Saccharomyces cerevisiae S288C: one gene and its partner. The protein of the gene in region 1 purifies or fractionates together with the protein of each later gene. This does not show direct contact. Each region holds a gene or a part of one and is shown in the gene's direction. Other genes may lie near its edges.

Region 1 (4,908 bases):
CCAACACCCGGCTCACTGTCTAAAAATGTGCTCGTCAGTATGCTAGAGGTATCTGATAGTGCTCCGTGGCCGGATAACATATTGCTGTCAAGTGAAGTAGAAGACAATACCCTTTCAAACATTGGTTGAGAACGAGAAATGGATCTTCCTTTCTTTTGAGAACTTGAAGGGGACTTTCTTAGATGTCTCTTTTGAGCATGATATTTGCAAACCTCATCAGTCCCGCAGGTACACTGTTTTCTTTGTTTTTCTTTGGCTTTAGCTCTTGCTTCTTCTTTGGCTTTCTGTGCCAGTTTTTTCTTCTCTAGCCGGCCACACGTGCAAACACCTTCAGGATTTGCATTCTTGTTTTTTCGAAGTTGTTTACAATAGTCGCATGTAGTGGAAGGTCTACCTTTGGGTTTGATCATCATAAGCGGTTGATCTGTATGATTGCATGTTGTTACTCTATGGCCTCTTATGCACCTCTCACAGGCATACTTTATGCCATTTATCAAGACCATTATTTTTTAGGTTTTTTTTTTCTATACTTTTGTTTCCTTTTTCTTGTCAAATATGGTAGAGTGACAACAGAGAACTCTTTTCCTATGATAAAAAACCACGGGGTCTTATTTTGCTTGATTACGGTTTTTGTTTAATATTACAACCCTCTTTTCCTTGGAAAAGCTTCCCTGCCACGTTTTGTCTTGGCTCTTTTATTATAACTGATAAAGAGAACGGAAAGGACTTATAAAACGTGAACTTTCTAGTTTTCAATCAAGTGCTGGTGCTGTTATCCCTTTTTTTTTTCTTATAAAGTGGAAATGCACGACTCTGTATTACTAAGACCAATTAGCAGGTAAATAAAAAATGTGCAGCAAAAGGATATTTAGAAATCTGTAGCCCTCTCTTGTTTCTTTTCTCTTTTTCTTATTTTTTTTCTTTACTGAATTTTTTTCTCCCTTTTCTTTTTCCTGCCCCAATGTGACTATTGAAATCATGTCCAATAAAGGAAATAAAATTACCTCTTTCCCACAACCGGCACCACCAATTGACCTCCCGACTGTCTGAATGCGTAAAAAAGTAAAGAGCCTGCTATGCTCCACATGTTAAAGGGAAAAGAAAGGGGAAATGGGAAGAAAAATTATTCGCAAATTACCGGAAGCGTTAACGTTACGCCCTTCAGGGCGAGGGGGAAAAATTGCGCAAGCCCGGAATCGAACCGGGGGCCCAACGATGGCAACGTTGGATTTTACCACTAAACCACTTGCGCGAAGTATTGTGTGGGAGTAACATGTCACCCTGCTACTAAATAGATGTGGTTATACAGCCAAAAAATCATAATATTGTCTTATTTTTACAATTGAGTGTTGGAATGAAAACTCTAAAGTATCATCTGTTTAGTAGTATTCATGTTACTAGTACTTTATCACATTGGGTGTAAAAAGATCACATAAAGATTGAAAAACAGTCATCAGGTGTAATAGAAGCTAATTGCAAGGATTGATAATTTAGTAGGATGATGAATGACAGTCACATAAGATGAAAAGGATAACAATAATGCCATTATATCGAGAATATCGATCTCTTCGTGGGTTCTTCTCATAGAGAAATTCTAGTATATTCTAAATACGTAATATTATAGCCTTTAACAACTATAAAACTCCAACAATTATCAACTATTTCGCACATTTTTCGATATTATACATTACCAATCCTTCCTTTTTGACTTCCGTTGAATTTGATTACTGTCCCTCAATTTTTATATCATCTTCTTACACCGCATGTGATAATGTACTAGTAACGTGAATACTAGTCCATAAATAATACTTGACTCTTACTTCAAGAATAACATACGGCAATTCATTGTGTTCCTTTGGTAGATATGAAAGTAGGTATAAAACTTATTTTATCGTAACGTTTTTCTTTCTTCTTTCACGTGTTCTTTTTGTCTCGTTTTAGCAGGAGAACTTGACTTCGGCGGCAAACCAATATATCAGATTGATTAAGATTACGCGTTTTTACACTATAAAGGGAAGGGCATGGTATAAAGGAAGCAGTGTATCCGGACTTAATATTTTATAGTTGTTCTATAATTTCTTTTTAGCCTCAGCAACTCTAAAGCATTTGCTATATATAGATTAATATTACAAATATTCTGCAATGGCACCTCTTTCGTTGAACTTTAAAGATGACAAGAAATATAAGGGCCTCACAACAGTGTGGTTGCTTTCTGCGTTGGGAAATTCCATTGTAAAGGAAAGTAACAATTATTATTCAAACAAAAGCAACTCCACTGGAAACATATCTTCATCCACCGTTAAGAAAAAAGACATCGTAAATATTTCCATACCAAAAACATGTGATGAAATTCAAAATTTCGAAAATGATTTTTCTCTTAGATACATTTCTAATCTTTTATATGGAGTGACAATTTGCTATAATAAAAAAACCGAGTATGTGTTGAATGACCTAAATCACCTGCTTGTGCAGTTACAAAAAAATGATGTATACGCTTTTAAGGCCAAAAATAAGTCTACGAGGATTAATGGATTGAATAGTAATAACAGTATTATAGGAAACAAAAACAATAATTACACCTGGGAAGAATGCGTTTTTTTCGATGACGATCCCTTATATGATATTACTAAAGTTCCCGCACTGGAGTTTCTTAACACTACTCTCCAAGATAATGTATCTTTTATTGAGGAAGCTAAATCAATAAGGAGACAAGACTACATCAATGAGTTAAGTAATTCTAACAGGTTCGAGCTTCATGGGGACATGACTAACTCAGACGCGCAAAGTAATCTAGGATCTAACGTTAGAAATTCTTTTCCGCTGGATGAAATTCCCGTTGATGTGGACTTTAACCTGGACTTAGATGATATAGTGAGCCATCAGGGGACACCTTTAGGCTCTCACTCAAGTTCACAGAAGGATGGAAACGATTTCAAGTTTAATTATCAAGGAGATGAATTGGTGTTGAATTTTGAGAACGATAATGAAAATAACAGTAATGGAGGAGAAGATACATCAGTTGAAAATGAAGGGCCGGTAGCCAATCTCAAAGACTACGAATTGGGGTTAGAAGCGCAGGCTTCTGAAGAAGAAAACGATCTTCAACAGAAACTTAACACCAGAATGCAAAGAGGACATCGCGCCGATGTAGGTGGGCAATTTTCTAAGGTACAATTTGATGCCAAAACGAGTTATCCAAATGAAGTTCTCAAATTCAACCATGGAAATTACAGTCACTTAATGGAAAAAAACAGGATTAGAAAACTAACCGGCCAAAATTTTCTCACCTCTAACATAAGTAGTTTGGTAAGGTCATGTGGTGAGGAAGAATTTTTTTCAACAAATTGGTTAAGTATATTTAACGACTTTTCCAATATAAAGACTAGCGAATGGGACTTATATCCCCAAGGTTTTAGTTCAGTTGAAAGAGGGAGAAAAAGAGCACATTCTTTAGTATCAACCCAAAGCTCAAGTAGTACCAGAAGTCACGAATATGGTAGGAAAAGTTTTCGCAATAATAAGAACGATAATTATTCTTCCGATATGGAAAATGATAATTTACTTTTAAACCTTGAACAAATTAATGAGGATTTGGAAGATGGGCACTATATTGAAGAAAACTCTCAAGGTAACATCCTAGATTTTAATTTGAATCTACCTCCTTCAAGTTTTGGAAGAAGTCATACCAGAAACTCAACCAGGTCTAGTGGTTTCAATGAAGATATAGTTGGTGCTCTCAGAAGGAGAGTCGGGCCATCTGAACAGAATTTTGCCGAGGAAGACGATTCCAGCAACAGTTGTTTTTCTGATGGCTCTCAGCAAAATTTGCAGCAGGACAAAACAAATTTTCAAGACGTCATTCTGGATTATCAAACTAAAAAATTCTACGATTACATCAAAGAAAGATCAATTGTTGTCGGAAGAACAACGCGCTCCAATCCGCCTTTCAAGAGAAAGATGCTGTTGGTTGACATCATCCCAAGCCGCATGGGCGAAGCTCAAACGGGAGCTAACTTTGATGATGTAGAAAGAGGTGTCAGCAGACAGATAGCCGCCAGTGCCTTCCTATCCTTACTGAATTTGGCTACGAAAGGGATGGTCAAGTTGAACGAATATCCTGTTGCAGATGCGGTAACTAAAGATCTTAAACTGAGAAGAGAGGACGAAATAATTGTATATGCCTGAATTTTTATTTTCTCCTTCCATATGAGCGACAGCGGTTACTAGCCGCTGTCCTCAGGTTAATGATCCAAGTCCGAGATCCGGGCCGAATATGCTTGCGGGGAAAGAAATAAAAGTGCATTGGAGAAGAAAAGGATATGCTCTTCAATTAGAAGCGCCGAAACACTAACATCATGCTAGCGATATCATACGTACACTATATAATGTAAAAAATGGGCTTAAGAATAACTCTCTTATTTCTTAACTTTTGTTGCGGTTGAAGAGCTTATAAAAGTACTAGTGGCCTAAAGAAGCTACAGCGCCGATAATAATATCGATTTCGACTTTTCTAGTATTTCGCCGATGATTACAATGATTAACAACAAAACTTTCAATAGAAAAACTACGGGAACACTGAAGAAGCTGGTTTTGTCATCAGACAAGTCACTGCGAAGATCTTTCAACGGGGCAAGCAGTACTAAAGACTTCGTGTTCTCGGAATCAAGTAAAGTAGAAGAATGGTGGGAATCAGCCAGATTTAAGAATATCAGTCGTCCATACTCAGCTACGGATGTTGTAAAGCATCGGGGCAGCCTTCCTGCTAATACTTCAATTTATCCTTCATCTTATCAAGCTCGAAAGCTGTTCAACTTACTAGAAGAGAATTTCAAGAATGGTACTCCACTTCACACGTTGGGAGTTATCGATCCTGTACAAATGAGTCAGTTGGCCCGTTGCAGAAATATC
Region 2 (6,281 bases), on another chromosome or scaffold:
GACATAGTTTCGTGAATTGATTCTTGTTTGTCGTTATGGTTGGCCTTTATTTTGTCTGGGTGGTATTTTTTGGTTAAATTTAAATATGCTTTCCTTATTTCTTTCGAACTAGCACTAGGCGATACTCCAAGAATTTTATAATAGTCCTTTTTTGGGTCGTAGTTAGGCGCTGCTGGGGGTGCTTGATGTCGTTGGTGTTGTTGCTGCTGTTGTTGTTGTTGGAAATATTGCTGGTTGAAATTCCGATGTTTATGCTCTTTATAGGTTTGTAATTGTTTCTGTAATAATCGGAAGTTCTTCATCACGTATGGATTGGTCGACTCTGAGAGGCCGTTATCTTGGAAAAATTTGTTTATCTGGTCATATAATTGCTTTTTGAACTGTGAATGAGGTTTAGACCTACTTTTATTAAGTATTGAGTTTACCATATACATCAGCAAATGAGGATTGGAATTCCATACATCACTCAATACCGTCTCAGGTAAAGGTTTTTGCTCGGACTTAGCATCCTGATAGTGTTTCCATGTTTCTAGTGTTAGTGAATGCCTCAAACTCTTTTTACAGAACGGCGCAGCCAGTTTAGCTCTCTTGACGTCCGGACTCATGCTAGAAGCCTGACAAAGAATGGAATCAATGTATACTAGATAATCGGTATGATAGTATGATTTTGGTTTGACAAAACCATCGGTTATTGGGGGATCTTCGAATAAATTTTTTGCCAAAGGTCTCGACAGTTGAACGTCTTCTATCAATTGTTTGATAATTTCCTCTAAAAAGAAGTAGTTGTTTTTAAAGTTTGTATCTTTGTTAAGAATTTTCATTGGTGTAATAAATGGCTTCTTATCCTTCAAATAAAATTCAATAATTCTATCCCAACTTCTAAACTTTTTGTTCTCAAATGCATATGTTGCTGGATCCAGGATCTGTCTTTTTGATGGATTCACCTTGTTCAATTTGGAAATAGTCAGGCTTAGTTTTTTACATTTATCATAGTCCATATCAATGGAAAGGCATTTTCTTATATTGAACGACGCATCTGAGTTAAGTACAAAGGTCTGTAAAACAGATATGACATAATGAATCGAAAGTCTTGTATCTATGCTTAAGCTAGCCAAATGCTTGTCGAGGATTGTTTCGTAATCCAAAATGATAGCAGCAGCTAACGAAACGTCAATTTCTTCAGCTAGTTTGTGAAAAAGAACATCGATGTGCGTGGAGAGGACGTTAACATCGTACGGCGTTATGCGTAGCAGCTCAGAAATATCTTCCTCCACAGAAACGTCTTTGGATGATATTTTGTTTCTGATGGTTTCATTCAAGGACAGATATTTCGCATACTGATCATCCTTCTGATGCACCTTGTCCCACATCCCAAAATCGACATACAGCTCTTGTAGCCTCTTTTCCGCCAGCTTCCCAAAAGAACCTTTGTAAGTTTCATTAAAAACGATTTTTTCAAATGTGTTAATAGCTCTTAGATGTTGATCGTTGGATAATTGGATCAGCCCAATTTTGTAGTATATTTGATTGGCTAGTTGAATTACGTCTGACATATTTTCACTTGCTGGATCCGCAGTCATGCAGTTTTGTTCCAACTGCCCAGCGATCCATTGGTATTTTGGCAAGGATTCAGTGTCTACTTTTAAATTCTTGTTCAATCGTTGTAACTCAGCCAAATCACATAACTTAGAAGCCGATATCAGTACTGGCAAAATAACGCTATACACTAAAAGACAGTATCCCGAGATCAGTATCATACTTCGTTTCGTAGACGTTAAGATCGGCCTTAGTAATACACTAAACCAACAATGAATGAAACCTTCTGGGCCCTTCTCGCAACCAACTCCTTTCACTTGGAATAACTTATAAGCAGTTTTGGCTCTATTTTTGCCTGCCATCGAAGTGTACACCTGTCACATTTCACTATTAGGAACCTAAAGAAAAAAAGTCTCAGGAATAGGAAAAGACGCGACGCGTTAGGAAATGATTAAACTAATTAAAGATGAGTTTTCAACCTCATCTTTAAACAGTTTCACCATTTTTTTACAAGACGACCTGCTGGAGTAACGGTAATAGTTCACGTCTGCAATGTATATCAAAAGGGTGATAATTAAGGGTTTTAAAACCTACAGGAACGAAACCATTATTGATAATTTCTCGCCGCATCAGAATGTTATTATTGGCTCCAATGGTTCAGGTAAATCGAATTTCTTCGCTGCGATTAGATTTGTTCTTAGTGACGATTACTCTAATCTTAAGAGGGAAGAAAGGCAAGGGCTTATCCACCAAGGTTCTGGTGGTTCAGTGATGAGTGCCTCGGTAGAAATTGTGTTCCACGATCCAGATCATTCTATGATATTGCCCTCCGGTGTACTTTCGAGAGGAGATGACGAAGTGACCATTAGAAGAACAGTAGGGCTGAAGAAGGATGACTATCAATTAAATGACAGAAACGTGACCAAAGGGGACATAGTCAGAATGTTGGAAACCGCTGGTTTTTCAATGAATAATCCGTATAATATAGTACCACAAGGTAAAATAGTCGCCTTAACTAATGCCAAGGATAAGGAAAGATTGCAGTTATTGGAAGATGTTGTAGGAGCTAAGTCATTTGAAGTAAAATTGAAAGCTTCATTGAAAAAAATGGAGGAAACAGAGCAGAAAAAGATTCAAATTAACAAGGAAATGGGTGAACTAAACTCTAAATTGAGTGAAATGGAACAGGAACGTAAGGAATTAGAGAAATACAACGAGTTGGAACGCAACAGAAAGATCTACCAGTTCACATTGTATGATCGAGAATTAAATGAGGTTATCAATCAAATGGAAAGACTGGACGGTGATTATAATAACACGGTATACTCTTCCGAACAATACATCCAGGAGTTGGATAAAAGAGAGGATATGATTGACCAAGTCTCCAAAAAGCTATCAAGTATTGAAGCTTCACTGAAGATCAAAAATGCGACTGATTTACAACAGGCAAAACTACGGGAATCTGAGATTTCTCAGAAATTAACAAACGTCAACGTAAAAATAAAGGATGTTCAACAGCAAATTGAGTCAAATGAGGAGCAGAGAAATTTGGATAGTGCAACTTTGAAAGAGATCAAATCTATAATTGAGCAAAGGAAACAAAAGTTGTCTAAAATTTTACCTAGATATCAAGAACTCACAAAGGAAGAAGCAATGTACAAACTTCAATTGGCCTCCTTGCAACAAAAGCAGAGAGATCTTATCTTAAAGAAAGGAGAATATGCCCGTTTTAAATCAAAGGATGAACGCGATACGTGGATTCATTCAGAAATTGAAGAACTGAAATCTTCAATACAAAACTTAAATGAACTGGAAAGTCAATTGCAAATGGATCGTACTTCTTTAAGGAAGCAGTACTCTGCGATTGATGAAGAGATTGAAGAGCTAATTGATTCTATCAATGGACCAGATACCAAGGGTCAATTAGAAGATTTTGATTCGGAATTAATACACCTCAAACAGAAGCTGAGTGAAAGTTTAGACACTCGTAAGGAATTGTGGAGAAAGGAGCAAAAATTACAGACAGTCTTGGAAACTTTATTAAGTGACGTCAATCAAAATCAAAGAAATGTTAATGAAACCATGAGTAGATCATTGGCAAATGGTATAATAAATGTGAAAGAAATTACAGAAAAACTAAAAATATCACCGGAATCTGTCTTTGGGACATTAGGTGAACTGATTAAAGTCAATGATAAGTACAAGACATGTGCTGAAGTAATTGGAGGTAACTCCCTCTTCCACATTGTCGTGGATACCGAAGAAACGGCCACTTTGATTATGAACGAACTATATCGTATGAAGGGTGGGAGAGTGACGTTTATTCCCTTGAACAGGTTATCTTTGGACAGTGATGTTAAATTCCCCTCAAACACTACTACACAAATCCAGTTTACTCCCTTGATAAAGAAGATAAAATATGAACCCAGGTTTGAGAAGGCTGTCAAACACGTTTTTGGAAAAACTATTGTTGTCAAAGACTTAGGTCAAGGTTTAAAATTAGCTAAGAAACACAAACTCAATGCCATCACTTTAGATGGTGATAGAGCAGACAAAAGAGGTGTACTTACAGGTGGGTATCTTGACCAGCACAAACGAACACGTTTGGAATCATTGAAAAACTTAAATGAATCAAGAAGTCAACACAAAAAAATACTGGAAGAATTAGATTTCGTAAGAAATGAACTAAATGATATTGATACTAAGATTGATCAAGTAAACGGGAATATAAGAAAGGTTTCTAATGACAGGGAGTCTGTCTTAACAAATATCGAGGTATATAGAACATCGCTAAACACCAAAAAGAATGAAAAATTAATTCTCGAAGAATCATTAAACGCAATTATACTAAAACTAGAAAAGCTGAATACAAATCGTACATTTGCTCAGGAAAAGCTAAATACATTCGAAAATGATTTGCTTCAGGAGTTTGATAGCGAACTCTCAAAAGAAGAAAAGGAAAGATTAGAATCTTTAACAAAGGAGATTAGTGCAGCGCACAATAAGCTAAATATTACATCAGACGCCCTAGAAGGTATAACTACAACCATTGACTCGTTGAATGCCGAATTGGAGTCCAAACTTATCCCACAAGAAAATGATCTAGAATCCAAGATGTCAGAAGTAGGTGACGCATTTATTTTTGGTCTACAAGATGAGTTGAAAGAATTACAATTGGAGAAGGAAAGCGTTGAAAAGCAGCATGAAAACGCTGTGTTGGAACTAGGTACCGTTCAAAGAGAAATTGAAAGTCTCATTGCTGAAGAAACTAATAATAAGAAACTGCTAGAAAAAGCAAACAATCAACAGCGATTACTATTAAAGAAGCTTGACAATTTCCAAAAAAGTGTTGAAAAAACGATGATTAAGAAAACAACTTTGGTTACTAGAAGAGAAGAATTACAGCAAAGGATTAGGGAAATTGGGCTTCTGCCAGAGGATGCTTTAGTAAATGATTTTAGCGACATCACAAGTGATCAGCTATTACAAAGACTGAATGATATGAACACAGAGATTTCTGGTTTGAAGAATGTAAACAAGAGAGCTTTTGAAAACTTCAAAAAGTTTAACGAAAGACGCAAAGACCTTGCGGAGAGAGCTTCAGAGCTGGATGAATCTAAAGACTCAATTCAAGATCTAATTGTTAAGTTAAAACAACAAAAGGTTAACGCGGTTGATTCTACTTTCCAAAAGGTTTCTGAAAACTTTGAAGCTGTTTTTGAAAGATTAGTTCCCAGAGGTACTGCTAAGTTGATTATTCACCGTAAGAATGATAACGCTAACGACCATGATGAAAGTATTGATGTTGACATGGATGCAGAATCCAATGAAAGCCAAAACGGTAAAGATAGTGAAATTATGTATACAGGTGTTTCAATTTCTGTTTCCTTCAATTCTAAACAAAACGAACAACTGCATGTTGAACAGCTCTCAGGTGGTCAGAAGACTGTATGTGCCATTGCTTTGATTCTGGCAATCCAAATGGTTGACCCTGCTTCCTTCTATCTGTTTGATGAAATTGATGCTGCACTCGACAAGCAGTATAGAACTGCAGTCGCTACACTTCTAAAAGAACTGTCAAAAAATGCCCAGTTTATTTGTACGACGTTCAGAACAGATATGTTGCAAGTTGCAGACAAATTTTTCCGTGTTAAGTACGAGAATAAGATTTCCACGGTTATTGAGGTCAATAGAGAAGAAGCAATCGGATTCATTAGAGGTAGCAATAAATTCGCTGAAGTCTAAGAGATATTTGAAACGATTTGTATATAAAAATATCAGTTTTGCTTACATAAATAGCTATTTGTATGTAATTATTACCATTGTCTCCTATATTGGAATTTTAAAAAATTTTCTTTTAAGATGATACTGTTACTAAACAATAATGTTAAATATAGTAACCAAGCTTTGATAATTCGACGTACAAAAAAGATTACTTTTCTTAAAGAAGTTGCCCGCTTGCTGGGAAAAGAGGTAAATAAGAATTGGTTTACATGAAGATTTTTTAATATATTAATACTTTTATATGCTTGATTATTTTTTTTTACTAGCTTTCTGTGACGTGTATTCTACTGAGACTTTCTGGTATCATTTTTTCTTGAAATCTTTTATTAATGATGCAAATCCACCACTTGGCTTCTTCTTCTTACCTAAAGCAGCACTAGCGGATTTCGCACTAATAAAACTTTTTCCATCATCAGATGAATCCCCTGAGTCATCAGAATCTGACTCAGATTTAGAATCTG

Evidence for each region.
Region 2: the proteins of REC8 (region 1) and SMC3 purify together in Saccharomyces cerevisiae (affinity purification with western blotting; 2 studies listed by BioGRID, with this or other methods). This does not show direct contact.

What each region holds. Positions count from the first base shown.
Region 1 is NC_001148.4:568,613-573,520, reverse strand, and holds REC8 (Rec8p), read left to right. Parts: upstream 1-2,142; coding exon 2,143-4,185; downstream 4,186-4,908. Other genes in the region: HAA1 (Haa1p), read right to left, coding at 1-503; methylisocitrate lyase ICL2, read left to right, coding at 4,525-4,908. UniProt on the Saccharomyces cerevisiae protein: Replaces the SCC1 mitosis-specific cohesin to ensure sister chromatid cohesion during meiosis. Is cleaved by ESP1 shortly before the first meiotic division, and dissociates from chromatin, allowing sister chromatids to segregate.
Region 2 is NC_001142.9:298,657-304,937, reverse strand, and holds SMC3 (cohesin subunit SMC3), read left to right. Parts: upstream 1-2,088; coding exon 2,089-5,781; downstream 5,782-6,281. Other genes in the region: JEM1 (Jem1p), read right to left, coding at 1-1,757; APQ13 (Apq13p), read left to right, coding at 6,062-6,281; NET1 (Net1p), read right to left, coding at 6,124-6,281. UniProt on the Saccharomyces cerevisiae protein: Involved in chromosome cohesion during cell cycle and in DNA repair. Central component of cohesin complex. The cohesin complex is required for the cohesion of sister chromatids after DNA replication.